3 linked regions of the Saccharomyces cerevisiae S288C genome follow. Changing the gene in region 3 together with the main gene of any one other region gives a genetic interaction. Each region holds a gene or a part of one and is shown on either strand. Other genes may lie near its edges.

Region 1 (8,246 bases), on a different chromosome or scaffold from region 3:
GTTGCTGGCCTAAGACTAAGTTCGTTGTCATCGCTTAAGTATTGTGATGAAACGGTTGATTCATTAATGTGATCATTGTTCACCCTTGAGAATTTACTGGATGTAGCAATATTGTGAGCTTTTGCTGCTCTTGGTTTTGAACTATTTGTTCTATGATAATTACGAGTTGTAACCTTCGTGTTAGTCGTGTTTGGAGATGTGCGAGAAACATTTTTGTATTCGCTGTGTTGTTTGTATTGGGACGGTTTATTTAGATTCATGATTTTATTTTCGTCATATATTAATTGAATTTCAGCGAATAATTGGGAAAGTTTCATGTTCGTTTTGGTACGATATTGATTACGTAGGTATTTGAAATCACCGGATAGACCTTTAAGTATTAGTTGACAGGCCAATCTGTCGCTAACATTGATATTGTTTTCTTTTAGCCTTTGAATGATCGTGCTGACTGTAATTTCAAATGTATCAGCAGATGTACTTCCGTTGTACTCAAGGTTGGCAAGAGCTATCCAATCTTTTAATTCTTGATTGTTAGTTTGCATTTTGGACACACTTTTACAAAGGACAGTAAGGATGTCAGAATAATTAATTTCTAAAATTTGTTTTACCCATGTTGGCAATAAATGAAATGGGGCAAATGCTTGGAAGGTATTGTATATATACGCATGTTCTTCATAAGTCATTTGTCTTTTGATTTCACCCTGGTCATTTGGAATAATGTCACCGAGATTAGAGTTCTTCAAAAATCTGATGTAAAATTTAACCCATGTAGAAAAGTTTTCTTCTGATGTTAAAGTGTGTGGTGGTAAGACATTATTTCTCACCTTTGTCTTAGCTTGAGGTACTTCAGAGTGTTGATCCTGTGAATCGATTGGATCAGGTGAGGAAGTACTCAGCGGTGGGATATACTGTGGCAGCGGATAGTGTGGGTCCGGTTGATAATACGCAGGTGACGTTTGATAATGTGAACACGTCATCATAGATGGTTGTTGGTAATGTGCCCAGTTAGAAGCCATAGCTTTGTTTGGGGTCATCATGCCGTGCTGTTGGTACTGTCCATTCTGTGGAGGTGGTACTGAAGCAGGTTGAGGAGAGACATGATGATGGTTCTCTGGAACAGCTGATGTCCCAGGTGTTGTCTCTTCTTGAGAATTAACCTTAGTGGAATCTCTATCAAATTCCGGTAAATTGGAAGCTGAAACGGCTAACGGATCTTGATTTGATGGGACTTCCTTAGAAGTAACCGAAGCATAGGCGCTACCATGTAGAGAATGTGGATTTTGATGTAATTGTTGGGATTCCATTGTGATTAAGGCTATAATATTAGGTATGTAGATATACTAGAAGTTCTCCTCAAGGATTTAGGAATCCATAAAAGGGAATCTGCAATTCTACACAATTCTATAAATATTATTATCATCGTTTTATATGTTAATATTCATTGATCCTATTACATTATCAATCCTTGCGTTTCAGCTTCCACTAATTTAGATGACTATTTCTCATCATTTGCGTCATCTTCTAACACCGTATATGATAATATACTAGTAACGTAAATACTAGTTAGTAGATGATAGTTGATTTTTATTCCAACAGGTTCACACGAAGATTGAAAGTGTGGCCACGCTAATTTAGTTTATTAGGGAAATGCTCCTGGTCAGTTCTAATTCACCCAACGTAGCGCGGAATATTTTAAAGTTAATATAGTATTTCGATATGACAAGCACCTCTAAACAAAAGGTTATTTTCGCTTTTGTTCATTGAGCGTGTACTTCAAGCCTGATCCTGCTTTTTCTTCTGATTTGATCTGATTCGATTAAGCAAGCGGTACTACCCTAAAACCGCCATCTGTTGTAATATAGTAACGTCGCAATAAACCTGTCATATAATTAGCAGCTAATCCTTATATTCCATCTCCTCAATTTGTGATATTTATCGTATATAATTCCCATTTCAGACCGTCATTTAGTAGTAGGCATCTAACTATGGAACGGCTTTACCCGATCTTGGTATGTATGCCATAATGTACTACCGCTATCGATTTACCTTAACCCTAACGAGTGTCTCTAGCCAGTATTTTAAACTTCCATATCACAACTAATGTTGAAGATTGTATAATAAAAACATCAAGCTATTTAATAGATGCGATTAATCTCCTAATCGAAAACAGTTTGTTCGGTGTCCAAATACTGTTTTAGTGGACTATGATAAACGTTATAACAGCTATTTTGACTAAAACAACCGTAAATTTACACAGATAGGTGTTCACAGTAATTTTTTGGGGAGTTAGGTCGAAATCTTTTCCAAAACCAGTCATGCAAAGGAAATGCGTCAACTTTTGGGGACTTTTCCCCTACTCAAACACAGTTAGTCAACATTTAAAGGTTGTGTCTTTACTTAAGAGAAAATTAACTGAGCTTCGGTCATACATACGTAATTTCGCTGCTTCCAGTCGAGCAGTTGGTGCGCTATAATCATTTGATGTTTTTAGCTTACGGCTTCTTAAGATTTTCTATTGTTCATACTGACTCGTCGCATAGGCCGCAATATAAATCATTTAGAGAAAACGTTAACACATCGTTTAGGTAAACAACCCCTAGAGAGGATGATCAGTACGCAATATAACTGTTCAAAATCCATTTCTTGCATCAATATTTTATTCAACTATTATTTCTGGAGGTTTTAGTGGTTCTGTATACCCCCTCCAGCCACTGTTATGAACAATTAATTGATACTACTTCGAATATAAACATTAAAACAAAAAACTTATTGAGTGCAGCAAGTTAACATGTATCGATATAATAGAAGTTCCCCTTTTGAACGAACACCAGAAAAACGAGTAAGCCGTCAAGAAAGCCAACGAAAGAGCATCGAATTGCCCAAACTGCCACCATTGAATACGAGGAACTCCTTTTTGGATGATTCTGATAACGGAACAGATAATATCTCAATTGGCTGGACACCAATCAGTGACACCCAGCAATTCCAAAGCCCGGTCCCTCAGGCTTTTACCTTTACATCAAAACATAGTGCAAGGGGAAACGGTACTAGCTCTTCAGAATCCACACCCAAATCGACAAAGTACGTCAAAGAAAGACGACCACCACCACCGCCACCCCTTTTGTATTCCACTGAATCAATACGGATAGACTCACCCATGGTATCTCCCAGTTCTCAGTCCCGGGAAAGATCACCTAATAAACTATCCTTTATAGGAAACTCAGAGGAACGACATCACATGGAATACATATCTAACCATTCCAGGATCTTAAAATCACCATTTGCGAACGGATTTAGTCCAAATTCCCCTAAATCTCCAAGAGATAGTAGCAAACAGCAGGCTCACTTCTCTGATGAATCAGATCTACGGTGTCATGAAAGAGAAAAAGCTTTACCCCCAATTCCTTTCACTACTACTCTTCTGCTATCTCCTTTTGATGATGAAGACTCAGAATTTTTTACGAAACCACCACCGCCTCTATCAACATCTAGAAACGTAAGTGGGAATAGCCGAGTATCAGAAGCCCTAGAAAGTGTTTATTCTGACTCAGATTATACTTTTAATAACTCAAATGCCAGGCAAAGTAGTTTTAACTCTTTACTAGGAGCCAAGCCATTAGAATTAGCACCAAGCATTACTGCACCGACACAACCATTTTCAATTCAATCTATCGATGAGCACAAGCTTTATCAATGTGATAATGTTTACAAACTTTCTGCTATTTATGAGTGGATTTTGAAAGTTTATTTTGAATGGTTTAATGAATGTGTCTTCACGAAAATCGATCTTTTCCAAATTGTTCAATTACTTTTAGAGTTTCAAATGCCTACAAATTTCGATCAAGATACGATAGACTCAAATGTGGATAATATTATGGCTTCGTTTATTTCCCAGAAAGCAGTAAGATTCGATATCATTAACGATGAAGAGGTAGCCGTAGTTGTGGGAGGGCTGGATATTACTGGTGTTTTCACCGAACTACTACCGTGCTATTCATTCATCGATAATACTTATGGATCTACAAACTCCCTGATTTGTTATTCCAACGTTTGCACACATGGCCAAAGCTCTGGCTTCAGAAAAGAAATAAAACTTTCCGAAATCATAAATAAATCAGTTGGACTTTGGACAGAATACTGGCACTTGACTCCAGATGATTTAGCAGAAATTAATCCCCGTGAAGTACAAAGACAAAGCTTTATATTTGACTTAATTATTTTAGAAGAAAGATCCTTAAACATGGCTACTGCCGCGGTAGAAATCTATGGGAAACGGTTTGACAAATCCCTACTTCCAGATGAGCCTGAGTTCAAGGCATTGGCATTTGATATCTTCGAACCTCTAATACAATTACATACCGAATTTCTTTTGACGCCAATATTTTGGAAATTAAAAACGAGAGGTAAGTTTATTGATGGCGTTGGAAAAATCTATTCAAAATGGTGTGGTGAAGCCAAGAATATATATTTGAATTACGCGAAAGCTATGGCAACGGTACACGAAATCATAATGTGGGAGAAGAAAAACAAGACGAAATTTGTAACATGGCTTAAGGAGATTGATAACTCGGTTGAAATTACAAGATCGAAGATGTATCATGATGTTATATTCTTTGGGGGGTTTTTCAAATCTTTACAAAACATGCCCGTAACTCTGCGCTCAATTTTGAAGAACACGGATCCTTCCATGGAGGATTATGAATACCTGAAAATAGTAATTAAGGAAGTAGAAAAGTTGAACTTTGAAGTTAATCAGGTACATGGATTAGCAATTGACCATAGGAAACTAGTAAGGTTTTCGAAACAATTAGTATTAAGTACTAATAGTAGTAATGCAACAAGCTATGTGAACGTCGGTGGTAGTACTAACGCAAATGACGATGATGCAATTCAGGATAAACTAGCTCTTGGTTTAACTTATCCGGAAAGGAAGTTAGTACTATCTGGCACTGTTTATAAAAAGAGGGATTTATGGCTGGACCCAACCCCAGTGTATATCGCATTATTGGACAATTGCTTACTGATTACAGAGGAAATAAGTAAAGGAGAAACTCAAAAATATAAGCTTATTGAAAGACCTATCCCAATAGATTATTTAAGTCTCGAGAAAAGGAAAATTCCAGGAACAAGTAAACAGCCTCTGAGAAACTACTCTCAGAAAGAACATAAATCCCCAATGCATAATTTTTCGACACCGATTAACTCCATGAGACCTCTGCTTAAAAGTTCTGGAAATCACATGTCAACAGCGTATGGAGATAGAAAGACTAGTAATACTGAAATTTCTAACGCGAATCCAAACACAGACGAGTTCTCATTTAAGATCAGAAATACAGCCACAGGTGAATCGTTCAAATTTTTTACAGAAAGTGCAGAAGTACTCAACCAATGGATTGATGCTATCATGGAATCTTTTAAAAGAAATGCAGAAAATCATGATTTAAATGCCTTTGAATTTACAGTGTTGAGCTCTGAGTTCGCATACTTCGACAAGGATGCACCGGTGAATCTACCTGTAGCTCCGGAAGGATCAGAAATTGATGTAGCACTCAAAGCTTACGCTCAAAAAGCAAACAAAGATTCATGTTCATGGAGTAAGACAACACGGATTCTTTGTTGTGAAGATGTTAAATTCGAGGGCAGAATTTACCTATTTGTGGCTACAACAGACGGTATCTATGTGAAATATAGAGACGATTATGGTAGTGGTTTCGTTAAAATATTAGAATTAAACGACGTCAAAAGAATGGAAGCCAATGTTAAGTTGGGGCTCTTGTTTGTATTGGATAACAGAAAGTTGTGCTATTTTAATATCTCAACGGTAGTGAGCCGTTACCTAGCGCAAGGAAACACTCTAGATGAAAACTGCATTGTGGGAACAGTAATCAGAGATAAGGTGAGATTCTTCAAAATTGCTGATGATTTTGGTAACTCAAAACATTTATTTTTTGAAAGAAAGGGGAAGATAGTTATATTAACACCAGAATTTGATCAATTGACAAACCAAGTAAAATATTTCAAATTTTACAAAGAGTATAAGCTCCCAAGTTCAAGTAATAACATTCTGAATAACGAAATTGAGGATATTGCCATATTCAGGAAAAGTTTTGCTGTGTGTACAAAGAAAACAGTCATACTTTATCAAGATTCATTCGAGGATAACGGAATAGTCTTACCATCTTTTTTGAATGATAAAGATATGATGGCACACTTGAGGCATCCACATTTGAATAGCTTACCGTTCAAAAGTGCTACAGACTCCAAGAAACGCCCCTCCATAGAATCTCTCACTGAAGAAGCAAAAAAGGATATCGCCACTTGCAAAGCTATACCGGTCAATTTTTTTCAAATATCACAATCTAGTTTTTTTGCCTTGGTTTATGATGAAGCCGTAGTGAAAATAAACTGCTACGGTGAGATGTCTGATTGGAGAAAGGATATTCTCTTACTTGATTTTTGTTGTACCGGCGCGAGCTTCCATGGTAATCATTTGATTCTCGTTGGCGACAATTTGATACAGATTTACGACTTAAAAAATGTTGAGCAGAACCTAGGCGAATTGGTTCCCGTCCAGATCATAAAAGGAAAGAAGATAAAGCTGGCTAGTTCAGAAAGGAGAGAGAAAACAATTCTTGTGTTAAGTCATCCAAATATACTTAATAGACAATTATTAGTCGCGTGCAATCCTGTAGCAATGGCAGATCATCAATAATATAAGATATAGACACTTTTAATGGTAAATATCGTTGTAATAATATAAGCCAACAAGAATATAGTCCAGTAATTATGCTATTTGCAGTAACTCACATCATTATTCTCTCTGTTCATATAATCCTGAATAACAGGTTACCCTCGGAAGTGCATTTAGCCGTATAACAAGTAGCTCTTTAAAATCAGTAGAACAGATACATTAATATGTGATAATACGGCTGTGAGGAAAAGGTGAAGTTCTGGTGATGAATATAGACTGTTTGTGTCGTTGGGTAGTTCTGCCACTGCTGCGCTATCCACTTCTGGTAGCTCTTGTATTGAGATGGTATGTAAAGTAGAAAATAGGCATGAGGTTAGAAACAGCGTTTTTTATACTAACATGACGAACTAACCTAGGTCTCTAAGCGACTCGATAAGCATTTGTCTAACAATCTATACACTACTGATAAATGCATTCCTCATTGCTAATTCCTATATAAAGCGGTCGGGACAGGTCGCCTGGAAGAGCCTTCGTGAATTTAAGAATGGCATAGTTCTTATTACTGGAGGAAGTAAAGGACTTGGACGGGCCATAGTATCTCAACTCCTACAAGACTACAGCAACCTGACCATCTTGAATGTCGACATATGCCCATCATCAGTGAGGAATACTCGCGTGAAGGATCTCATCTGCGACCTGAGTGATGATGAAGAAGTTGCAGCACTACTGAATTTGTTGAAAAGAAAGTATAAAAATGAAATCCGATTGATTGTGAACAATGCTGGAGTAAGGGCCAACTTCACCGGATTCAACGGCATGGAACGGGATAATCTTGATAAGATTTTTAAGATAAACACATTTGCACCACTTCAGTTCATTCAAGAACTGGCCCCTAGTAGACACTCAACTAGACAGTGTTATATTGTCAATATCGCAAGCATTTTGGGCATATTGACGCCGGCCAAAGTAGCAGCTTATGCGGCGAGCAAAGCAGCATTGATAGCCTTTCATCAGTCGTACAGTTTTGAATTGCAAAACGAAGGCGTAAGAAATATCAGAACACTATTAGTGACCCCAGGGCAACTGAATACGGAAATGTTTGCAGGATTCAAGCCTCCTCGCCAGTTCTTTGCCCCTGTAATAGACATTACTACTCTAGCTGCCAAGATAGTCCGTTATTGTGAGCTGGGTCAGAGGGGACAGCTAAATGAACCCTTTTATTGTAGTTTTGCTCATCTTTTGATGTGCGTACCTTATTCGCTACAACGCATTGTAAGAAGCTTCTCTCGCATAGATTGCTGCCTCCCGGACGAGTAGAAAGCTATACATAGTAAATAGAATATTTATAGATGAATCCGAGTAGACAGCCTTGGTGTTTGCTTATACATTCTTTGCAATTATGCACGCCCTCATTACCGTTGCTCATATTTTTGGGCATTAATTGTATTTTGAAAAGTGCTCGTTCAGGCCCGTGTAAAAAAAGGTGATGAAGCAAACATTATAATAAACACTTCTGAGAAGCCACGTGTAGAGGGGTAAGCTATATCGTAAACAC
Region 2 (4,238 bases), on a different chromosome or scaffold from region 3:
TTTGGCTTGTATCATGTACACCTCGGGCTCGATCAGTGCACCAAAAGGTGTAGTATTGACTCATTATAATATTGTTTCGGGTATCGCTGGTGTAGGTCACAACGTCTTTGGATGGATCGGCTCTACAGACCGTGTTTTGTCGTTCTTGCCATTGGCTCATATTTTTGAACTGGTCTTTGAATTCGAAGCCTTTTACTGGAACGGTATTCTTGGGTACGGTAGTGTTAAGACTTTGACTAATACTTCGACTCGTAATTGTAAGGGTGACCTGGTTGAGTTTAAGCCTACTATTATGATCGGTGTGGCTGCCGTTTGGGAAACTGTGAGAAAAGCTATTTTGGAAAAGATCAGCGATTTAACTCCCGTACTCCAAAAGATTTTTTGGTCTGCCTATAGTATGAAAGAAAAGAGTGTACCATGCACCGGGTTTTTAAGTCGTATGGTCTTCAAGAAAGTCAGACAAGCCACCGGTGGTCATCTTAAGTATATTATGAACGGTGGGTCTGCGATCAGTATTGATGCTCAGAAATTCTTTTCTATCGTCCTGTGTCCTATGATTATCGGTTACGGCCTTACTGAAACAGTTGCGAATGCTTGTGTTTTGGAGCCTGATCATTTCGAATATGGTATAGTTGGTGATCTTGTTGGATCGGTCACTGCCAAATTGGTGGATGTTAAGGACCTAGGTTATTATGCAAAAAACAATCAAGGTGAATTGCTTCTAAAGGGTGCGCCGGTCTGTTCTGAATATTATAAGAATCCAATAGAAACGGCGGTCTCTTTCACTTACGATGGATGGTTTCGTACTGGTGATATTGTTGAATGGACTCCCAAGGGACAACTTAAAATTATTGATAGAAGAAAGAATTTGGTTAAAACCCTAAATGGTGAATATATTGCATTAGAAAAGTTAGAATCTGTTTACAGGTCAAACTCCTATGTGAAAAATATCTGTGTTTATGCCGATGAAAGTAGGGTTAAACCGGTGGGTATTGTGGTACCCAACCCAGGACCCCTATCTAAATTTGCTGTCAAATTGCGTATTATGAAAAAGGGTGAAGACATCGAAAACTATATCCATGACAAAGCATTACGAAATGCTGTTTTCAAAGAGATGATCGCAACAGCCAAATCTCAAGGTTTGGTTGGTATTGAACTATTATGTGGTATTGTTTTCTTTGATGAAGAATGGACACCTGAAAATGGCTTTGTCACATCTGCTCAAAAATTAAAGAGAAGAGAAATCTTAGCCGCTGTTAAATCAGAAGTCGAAAGGGTTTACAAAGAAAATTCTTAGAGAGAAGCTTATTACCTTCCCCTTCCATCTATGCACGGTGTCTCGTACTTCCATAGAGCACCGATTAGTGAATACTAAAACTATGTGCGTGATAAATGGTTCTCTTTTACAGATGCGGTAAATCAATTATTGATATACTACATAACATACAAACATGTTTCATTTCCGTAATACAAATTACAATTGTATAATTAAAAAATATAAAAAACTTCGTGATATGAAATCACATTTTGCTATTGAGTTTGCCACATGAGCGGTATACGAACTATTCGTTATTTTATGACTTTAAAAGCCATACCGAAAGTAGGCTTGAGAAGTATGACTACTGTAGGAGTGACCACTACTGTTAAATGCAGATAGCCGTCTTATGCTCTTCCCTTGTTCTTCTGAATTGGGAATGCATAGCTTGAAACATCAATCTTAATAAGGTCTTGTTTGTTTCTGCTTGGCTTTCATAGTAGCAAATAGTTTCGACCTTAATGTAAGAAATAAAAGCAATCGTTAATTTGAGTAAAGATAACCACTCTTCCTCTTCTACTATCAATATAATAAGAATAACGCTTATGGTTTATTTTAGCTTTTTTGAAAGCTAAACATTAAAAAAGAATAAAAATGCACGGCATACCTACATATTTTAAAAACATATATTTTATGATTGACTTTAGCAAAAGTTGGCGCTGGGTACTTTGAGACTCTTTCCTACAAAACGTTACCAACACTTGCTAGTCTAATCTAATCTACTTAATCAAGGTTTTAGTGGCGTACCATGTGACGGCCATCAAATGCCATCAGTTCTACAAGTTCACATATATTTATATATAACTATTCTCCTAACTTGTATAATATTATACCGAGACAGAGGATAGATTCAATTGATTTCACATACCGGATTATGTTCCTTCCCAAGTTCTCAATCTTATTTAGACTTTTTTTTTTAATTACATTGTCGCCCACTTCGGCAGAAAAAATATAACGACAAAGTAATGGCATCGCATCGACCTAATGAAATACTACTGGCAGACGGTATGGAGAGCTCAAAAATTCCCAAAGCAGAAAACAATACTGATTTCTGATACTAAAACGAGATAGGTTAATAGCAAAATCGGGATGGTAAACGTGAAAGTGGAGTTTCTAGGTGGACTTGATGCTATTTTTGGAAAACAAAGAGTACATAAAATTAAGATGGACAAAGAAGATCCTGTCACAGTGGGCGATTTGATTGACCACATTGTATCTACTATGATCAATAACCCTAATGACGTTAGTATCTTCATCGAAGATGATTCTATAAGACCCGGTATCATCACATTAATCAACGACACCGATTGGGAGCTCGAAGGCGAAAAAGACTACATATTGGAAGACGGTGACATCATCTCTTTTACTTCAACATTACATGGTGGTTAAAAATAGCAGCAAATAATTTTTAAGAAGCAGCTACATATATATATATAAAGTGCTGTACAGCTTGAATGAATCACAAGTTAGATAACGTAGGTAATATGCAGATAGTATAAAAAGTAATAGTAATAACTGGATTGGTTTTTTTTAGTACATGACGAAGATTATAGCTCTTGTATCCTACAACCCAAAAGACCTCTACCATTCCAGTTTCTCGAAGGTGTTAGCGATGTCTTTAGGATTTGCCCTTCTCTCAAGAGAAGGACGGGAAGTGGCCTGTCTTCATTTTTCATTACAACCATCTGAATGTTTTGAAGTTTAGAGTGGTTTGCCGCATGCACATTACCAATAGAAATCAGCTTATCATCAACCTTTATGTCTGCTTTATCTGAAGGGCTACCGGGTACTACCTCACTGATAAATGCAAAAGGGATGGTATACTGAATAGCTTGATCGTCGTTATTCCTTCTTGCATCTTGGTTTGACTTAACGTTCATATTATCAAAGTGCTGGTTTAGTAAGACGTGTGATCTTTGCAAAAGGTGATTTAAATCATTCTTCAGCATATTAACATTCTTTCTGATCATAGTGACTTGCAATACATCGACATCCGAACGAGGATACCCGTCTGGCGTCACCAACGCAGAGTCCATGCCGATGCCTTGCTGCTCAAGCACACTGAAATACGCCTCTAGTTGTGTCTCAATATCTGTCTTTAGAACCATCAATTCCGACAGTTTGAAGCTGTCTATTTGACTAATTCTTGATGTTAGGCTCGGATCTATCTTAACATTGGCCAACAATTTACTTAATTCTTCTTCCTCCATTGTAGTTCGTTCTTATTCTAATTCTTGCTCCTTTTTACTCTGGTGATAACTTTTCTATCTCTCAATGCTGAACATTTTTTTTCCCTTTATTATCCAATATTCCAACCGTTATAAAGTAAGCCTTATCGAACACAATCCACGGCGCACGCAAGGGACAGCAAATTTCGAGAATTAATGAATAGCCAGTAGTAAGATCCGTATTGATAAAGGTCATAGATCCCAACCTTTATGTGAGCCAGCCCGAAGGGCCCTTTAAATGACTCTCATAATATGGTCCAATAGCACCAATTTCTAGGGGTTACCCACCGGCCTAGTGCTTAATCGAATTCTGAAAAGAATCTCTACTACAGACTGCCAACCGTAATAGTAGTGAGATCAACACTGAAGGCAGCAGTCTTTAGCACAATGACACAGACTGATAATCCTGTCCCCAACTGCGGTTTACTGCCCGAGCAGCAGTATTGCTCTGCAGACCATGAAGAGCCACTGTTGTTGCATGAAGAACAATTGATATTCCCTGATCATTCCTCCCAACTGTCCTCAGCAGATATCATCGAGCCCATCAAGATGAACAGCAGTACTGAGTCAATTATAGGGACAACGCTGCGAAAGAAATGGGTACCACTATCCTCAACTCAGATCACAGCTCTTTCCGGCGCATTTGCTGGATTCTTATCAGGTGTGGCAGTATGTCCCCTCGATGTTGCCAAAAC
Region 3 (4,210 bases):
TACGAATGTTTTTAAATTACAAAATCATTAAATCATAAAATGTTCAGTGAGTACAATCTCCCAAAGTCTACGTTTACTGTAATTTATCGCTATTTACAGGGACGCTGCAGCTTAAATATTAGCGCCTAAGTTAGTCGAAGCATTCTGTCTTGCCCAATTCTGGACAGTAGCAGCGGTCTTTAAACCCACCCCACTCGGCCAACATTTCTAATTTTTCCTTTGGCTCTAAGAAATATTCTCCGCTTAATACAAAGGTCCCCCAATGAACGCCTAATACATTTCGAGCTTCTAGATCTTTCATAATCTTGAGAACCTCTTGAGGATTAATATGTCGTGGTTTTTGGTGCCACTCAGGGCAATACTGACCACATGGAAGCAGCGCTAATTTACAACCTTTGCCAAAGCGTTCTTTAATTCTAACGAATAAATCTTTCACATATCCAGTGTCACCAGCATGAAAAAGTATGGGATTACCATGGTGTGTTAATAAAAAGGAGCACCATAGAGACTTGTTCGTATCTAAGAGCGATCTCCCAGACCAATGCATGGCAGGAGTAGCCGATATGTGGTATATCTCATTGTTTTTCTTTACTTGCAAAGTTTCCCACCAAGATAATTCTAGGACATTATCACAGCCGTTACTTGTCATATAAGATTTCATTCCTTTAGGTACTATCCATAAGGGAGAGTCTTTGCCACTCCAGTATTCCAAGCTTTCTAAATCCAGGTGATCGGGGTGATTATGGGATACAAGGATGATATCTGGTTTGGGCACCTCTGTAATTTGAGATGGCATTTGAGTAATTCTTTTAGGACCCAGGGTCTTGTGGATAAGAAAGTCACTGAACAGAGGATCAGTAAGTATCCTCAATCCATTATAAACCGTGTAGTTACAGGACTGGCCCAGCCATGTGTTATAGACTGGGCACTTTGATCCTTCATTTTCTTCTACTGCAGTCGGTATGTGCAATTCGTCTAACACTTTGCATTCTAGCGGCAATGCCGTTTCCTCTGCGGGGTCGACGTCCACTAAGTTAGGCCCCCATGTTGGCTTGTGTACAGGCATTAACTTATTCATTTGGTGTACATCACGTGGAATACCTCCCCTATTTCTTTCAAATAATTCGAACACTCTATTTGCAAAGAATTCAAAAACGGTCTGAATCCTGTATTCTTCGAACGGGTTCTCAAATCTGCCTAAAACTTCCAAAGGGCTATATTTTAGCAAGGATCCCTTATAAGTGACCTCGTTATTATTCTCCTCTAATCTTTGACACATTTCGTTTCTTAAATCAATTTGCTTCACTGTAGCCAATGATACATAAAACGCATATCCTGTGTAAGGTACCAAAACAGACAACAGAAGTATACGTGCGTATTTTCTCGAGCATTTTTGTATAGGGCGTGTCTTTTGCGAAGCATGTCTTTTGAAAGTTGACAATGATGTCTGGGGTCTAAACAGCTCTGATTCTCGTAAACGCACTAGTCTCCTTTGGAGAAGAAGCCTCATCTGAACATGGCAGGTAACAAAATTCATTTGCAACACAAGCAGGCATGCAATCCTTCAGTAATTGGAGTGCTACTGTTCACACCATATTCTCGCTATTCTCGAACTACGTTTTTTTTTTTTTGTTAAGCATCAGTAGTGAGTCTTCGGGAACTGCTTAACGACAGTAAAGGAAAAAAAAAACTAGCAGCTGTTGATAATATTCAGAAAATGAACGCAGAAGGAATCATTAGCTAAAAAGTTTATTATTAAAATCAGACATATATCTCATTATAATATTTTTTTTTTATAATACCACCATTTGTTCTCATATAATACTGATAAATATCGCATCGAATGGAAAAGACAAATAGGAGGCCGCTATTGTAATTTGGGCCTTAACCTATTTATTCTCTCTCTTTTAATTGATATTTTAATCTTTTTGAAGCCTACAATGTATTTTGGGCGATAATCAAGGAGAATATCAGTGTCATATACTCACTGTGGTAAATGTATTTCTAAAGTAGTTCCAATTCTTTCTTCAAAAAAGGCCACTAGACGATGTGCTTTCTTGCACAAGCATTTTGCTGGGCTATCTTCAATAGTGATAATTCTAACTAACTCAAAACCAGATGGCAAGTTCTTCCCTATGGTCGACTTCTCTCAGACGCAATAGTAGCTATGTTATTGATGGCTTTTGACGCCAGACCGGGTAAAGCGCATGGAATGAACTCTAAACTGTTAAAATAACAAAAACGACATATGAAGATGTCGATGAGGCTGGATAGTTTAGAGATGAGGTGCAGAGAACAACATTGTATAACAAATTCGGCTCCCAAATATCGCATGTACCATGTCATTTCGTAAAAGAGGTGAAATACTGAACGATAGAGGTAGCGGGCTAAGAGGTCCACTGTTAAGAGGTCCTCCACGAACTTCCTCAACGCCATTGAGGACAGGCAACAGAAGAGCCCCTGGAAATGTGCCCTTGTCTGACACTACAGCGAGATTAAAGAAGTTGAATATTGCGGACGAATCCAAGACAAAAATGGGGCTGGATAGCTCCCATGTGGGCGTTAGACCTTCTCCTGCAACCTCTCAGCCGACGACATCAACTGGGAGTGCTGACCTGGACAGTATACTAGGCCATATGGGGCTGCCGCTGGGAAACTCTGTACTAGTAGAGGAGCAGAGCACGACAGAATTTCACTCTATTCTCGGTAAACTGTTTGCCGCACAGGGTATCGTTCATAATAGAATTTCAGATAGCAGTGCTGATAAAACTAGAAACGGCGACACTCATGTCATTGTCTTGTCATTGAACCAAATGTTTGCAAAGGAGCTACCTGGTATCTACAAGGGATCACGTAAACAAATGAAGAAAAACCTAATCTCTGAAGAAGAATCAAAAGTTACTGTTCAAAATTTGAACGAGACCCAGAGATCGACGCCTTCCAGGTACAAAGACCTGAAAATTGCATGGAAATATAAACTGGCAGATGAAAAGAGATTGGGTTCTCCGGATCGAGATGACATCCAACAAAATTCTGAGTACAAGGACTACAATCATCAGTTTGATATTACAACGCGTCTGATGCCCGCTCCCATAGCATCTGAACTGACATTTATCGCCCCAACTCAACCTGTCTCCACTATTTTGAGCCAAATAGAACAGACTATTAAAAGGAATGACAAGAAACTGATAAGAATTGTTATTCCTTCCCTTCTACATCCGGCAATGTATCCGCCCAAAATGTTTGAATCATCTGAAATAATAGGTTTAATGCACGGTGTGAGGAGTCTTGTCAAGAAATACTATGAGCGGGTTGTACTGTTTGCTTCCATATCCATAGACATTATCACTCCCCCATTACTGGTATTGCTGAGAAACATGTTCGATTCTGTTATCAATCTAGAACCCTTTAACCAGGAGATGACTGAGTTCTTAGAACGTGTTTATAAATCGCAACCGGGGAAGATTCAACATGGGCTAGTCCACATATTGAAATTACCAGTTTTCACGGACCGTGGAGAGATGAGAGTTTTAAAGTCTGAATGGGCATTTAAGAATGGCAGAAAAAAGTTTGAAATAGAACAATGGGGCATACCCGTGGATGATGCTGAAGGTTCAGCTGCCTCGGAACAGTCACATTCACACTCGCACTCGGATGAAATCTCACATAATATACCTGCAAAGAAGACCAAGATATCTTTAGACTATTAAGAATATGGTTCAATTTATGGGAAATATACGGCATGCTTTTTAACAAGCGTGGTGAATGTATTATTTTTTTATCTGTTATATCTTAAATACGACTATTATATATATATCCATCGTCTTTTTCCTGACTCTAAGCGGTGGCAGCTGGAAGGTAGAAAAAGGTATCGCCTAGATGTCAAAATATGAAAAAGTGAAATGAATATTAACAAAAAAGGAGCGTGAGCTGCAGAAAGAATTTGACCAACAAAAGACAATTCCACTCCTTTGGATTTGAAATAGACAGATAGAAAAGGATATGAAAGTATTACAATTCAATCAAGATGCAACGTGCTGTGTGGTGGCCGCGTCATCGCATCAGATTTCGATTTTTAACTGCGACCCCTTTGGTAAATGTTTTGAAATTGACACTAAGAATTCCAAGAAGAAGACTTCAAACAATAACGGTTCAGCTTCAAACTCAGAATCACGGAATAATGAGGAGAGCATATTAATAACTAATGGCT

The links. A genetic interaction does not mean that the proteins touch.
Region 1: mutations in ELP4 (region 3) and TUS1 are lethal when combined (synthetic lethality), as found in Saccharomyces cerevisiae (2 studies listed by BioGRID, with this or other methods).
Region 2: mutations in ELP4 (region 3) and URM1 impair growth when combined (synthetic growth defect), as found in Saccharomyces cerevisiae (4 studies listed by BioGRID, with this or other methods).

What each region holds. Positions count from the first base shown.
Region 1 is NC_001144.5:980,106-988,351, forward strand, and holds TUS1 (Rho family guanine nucleotide exchange factor TUS1), read left to right. Parts: upstream 1-2,788; coding exon 2,789-6,712; downstream 6,713-8,246. Other genes in the region: TDA5 (Tda5p), read left to right, coding at 6,957-7,036, 7,108-8,008. UniProt on the Saccharomyces cerevisiae protein: Guanine nucleotide-exchange factor (GEF) for RHO1 that stimulates the exchange of RHO1 GDP-bound form into GTP-bound form. Required for signaling of cell wall defects to RHO1.
Region 2 is NC_001141.2:340,132-344,369, forward strand, and holds URM1 (ubiquitin-related modifier URM1), read left to right. Parts: upstream 1-2,404; coding exon 2,405-2,704; downstream 2,705-4,238. Other genes in the region: long-chain fatty acid-CoA ligase FAA3, read left to right, coding at 1-1,297; NAS2 (Nas2p), read right to left, coding at 2,863-3,525; YIA6 (NAD+ transporter), read left to right, coding at 3,931-4,238.
Region 3 is NC_001148.4:357,870-362,079, forward strand, and holds ELP4 (Elongator subunit ELP4), read left to right. Parts: upstream 1-2,339; coding exon 2,340-3,710; downstream 3,711-4,210. Other genes in the region: FMP30 (N-acetylphosphatidylethanolamine-hydrolyzing phospholipase D), read right to left, coding at 131-1,537; ATG21 (Atg21p), read left to right, coding at 4,003-4,210. UniProt on the Saccharomyces cerevisiae protein: Component of the elongator complex, a multiprotein complex which is required for multiple tRNA modifications, including mcm5U (5-methoxycarbonylmethyl uridine), mcm5s2U (5-methoxycarbonylmethyl-2-thiouridine), and ncm5U (5-carbamoylmethyl uridine).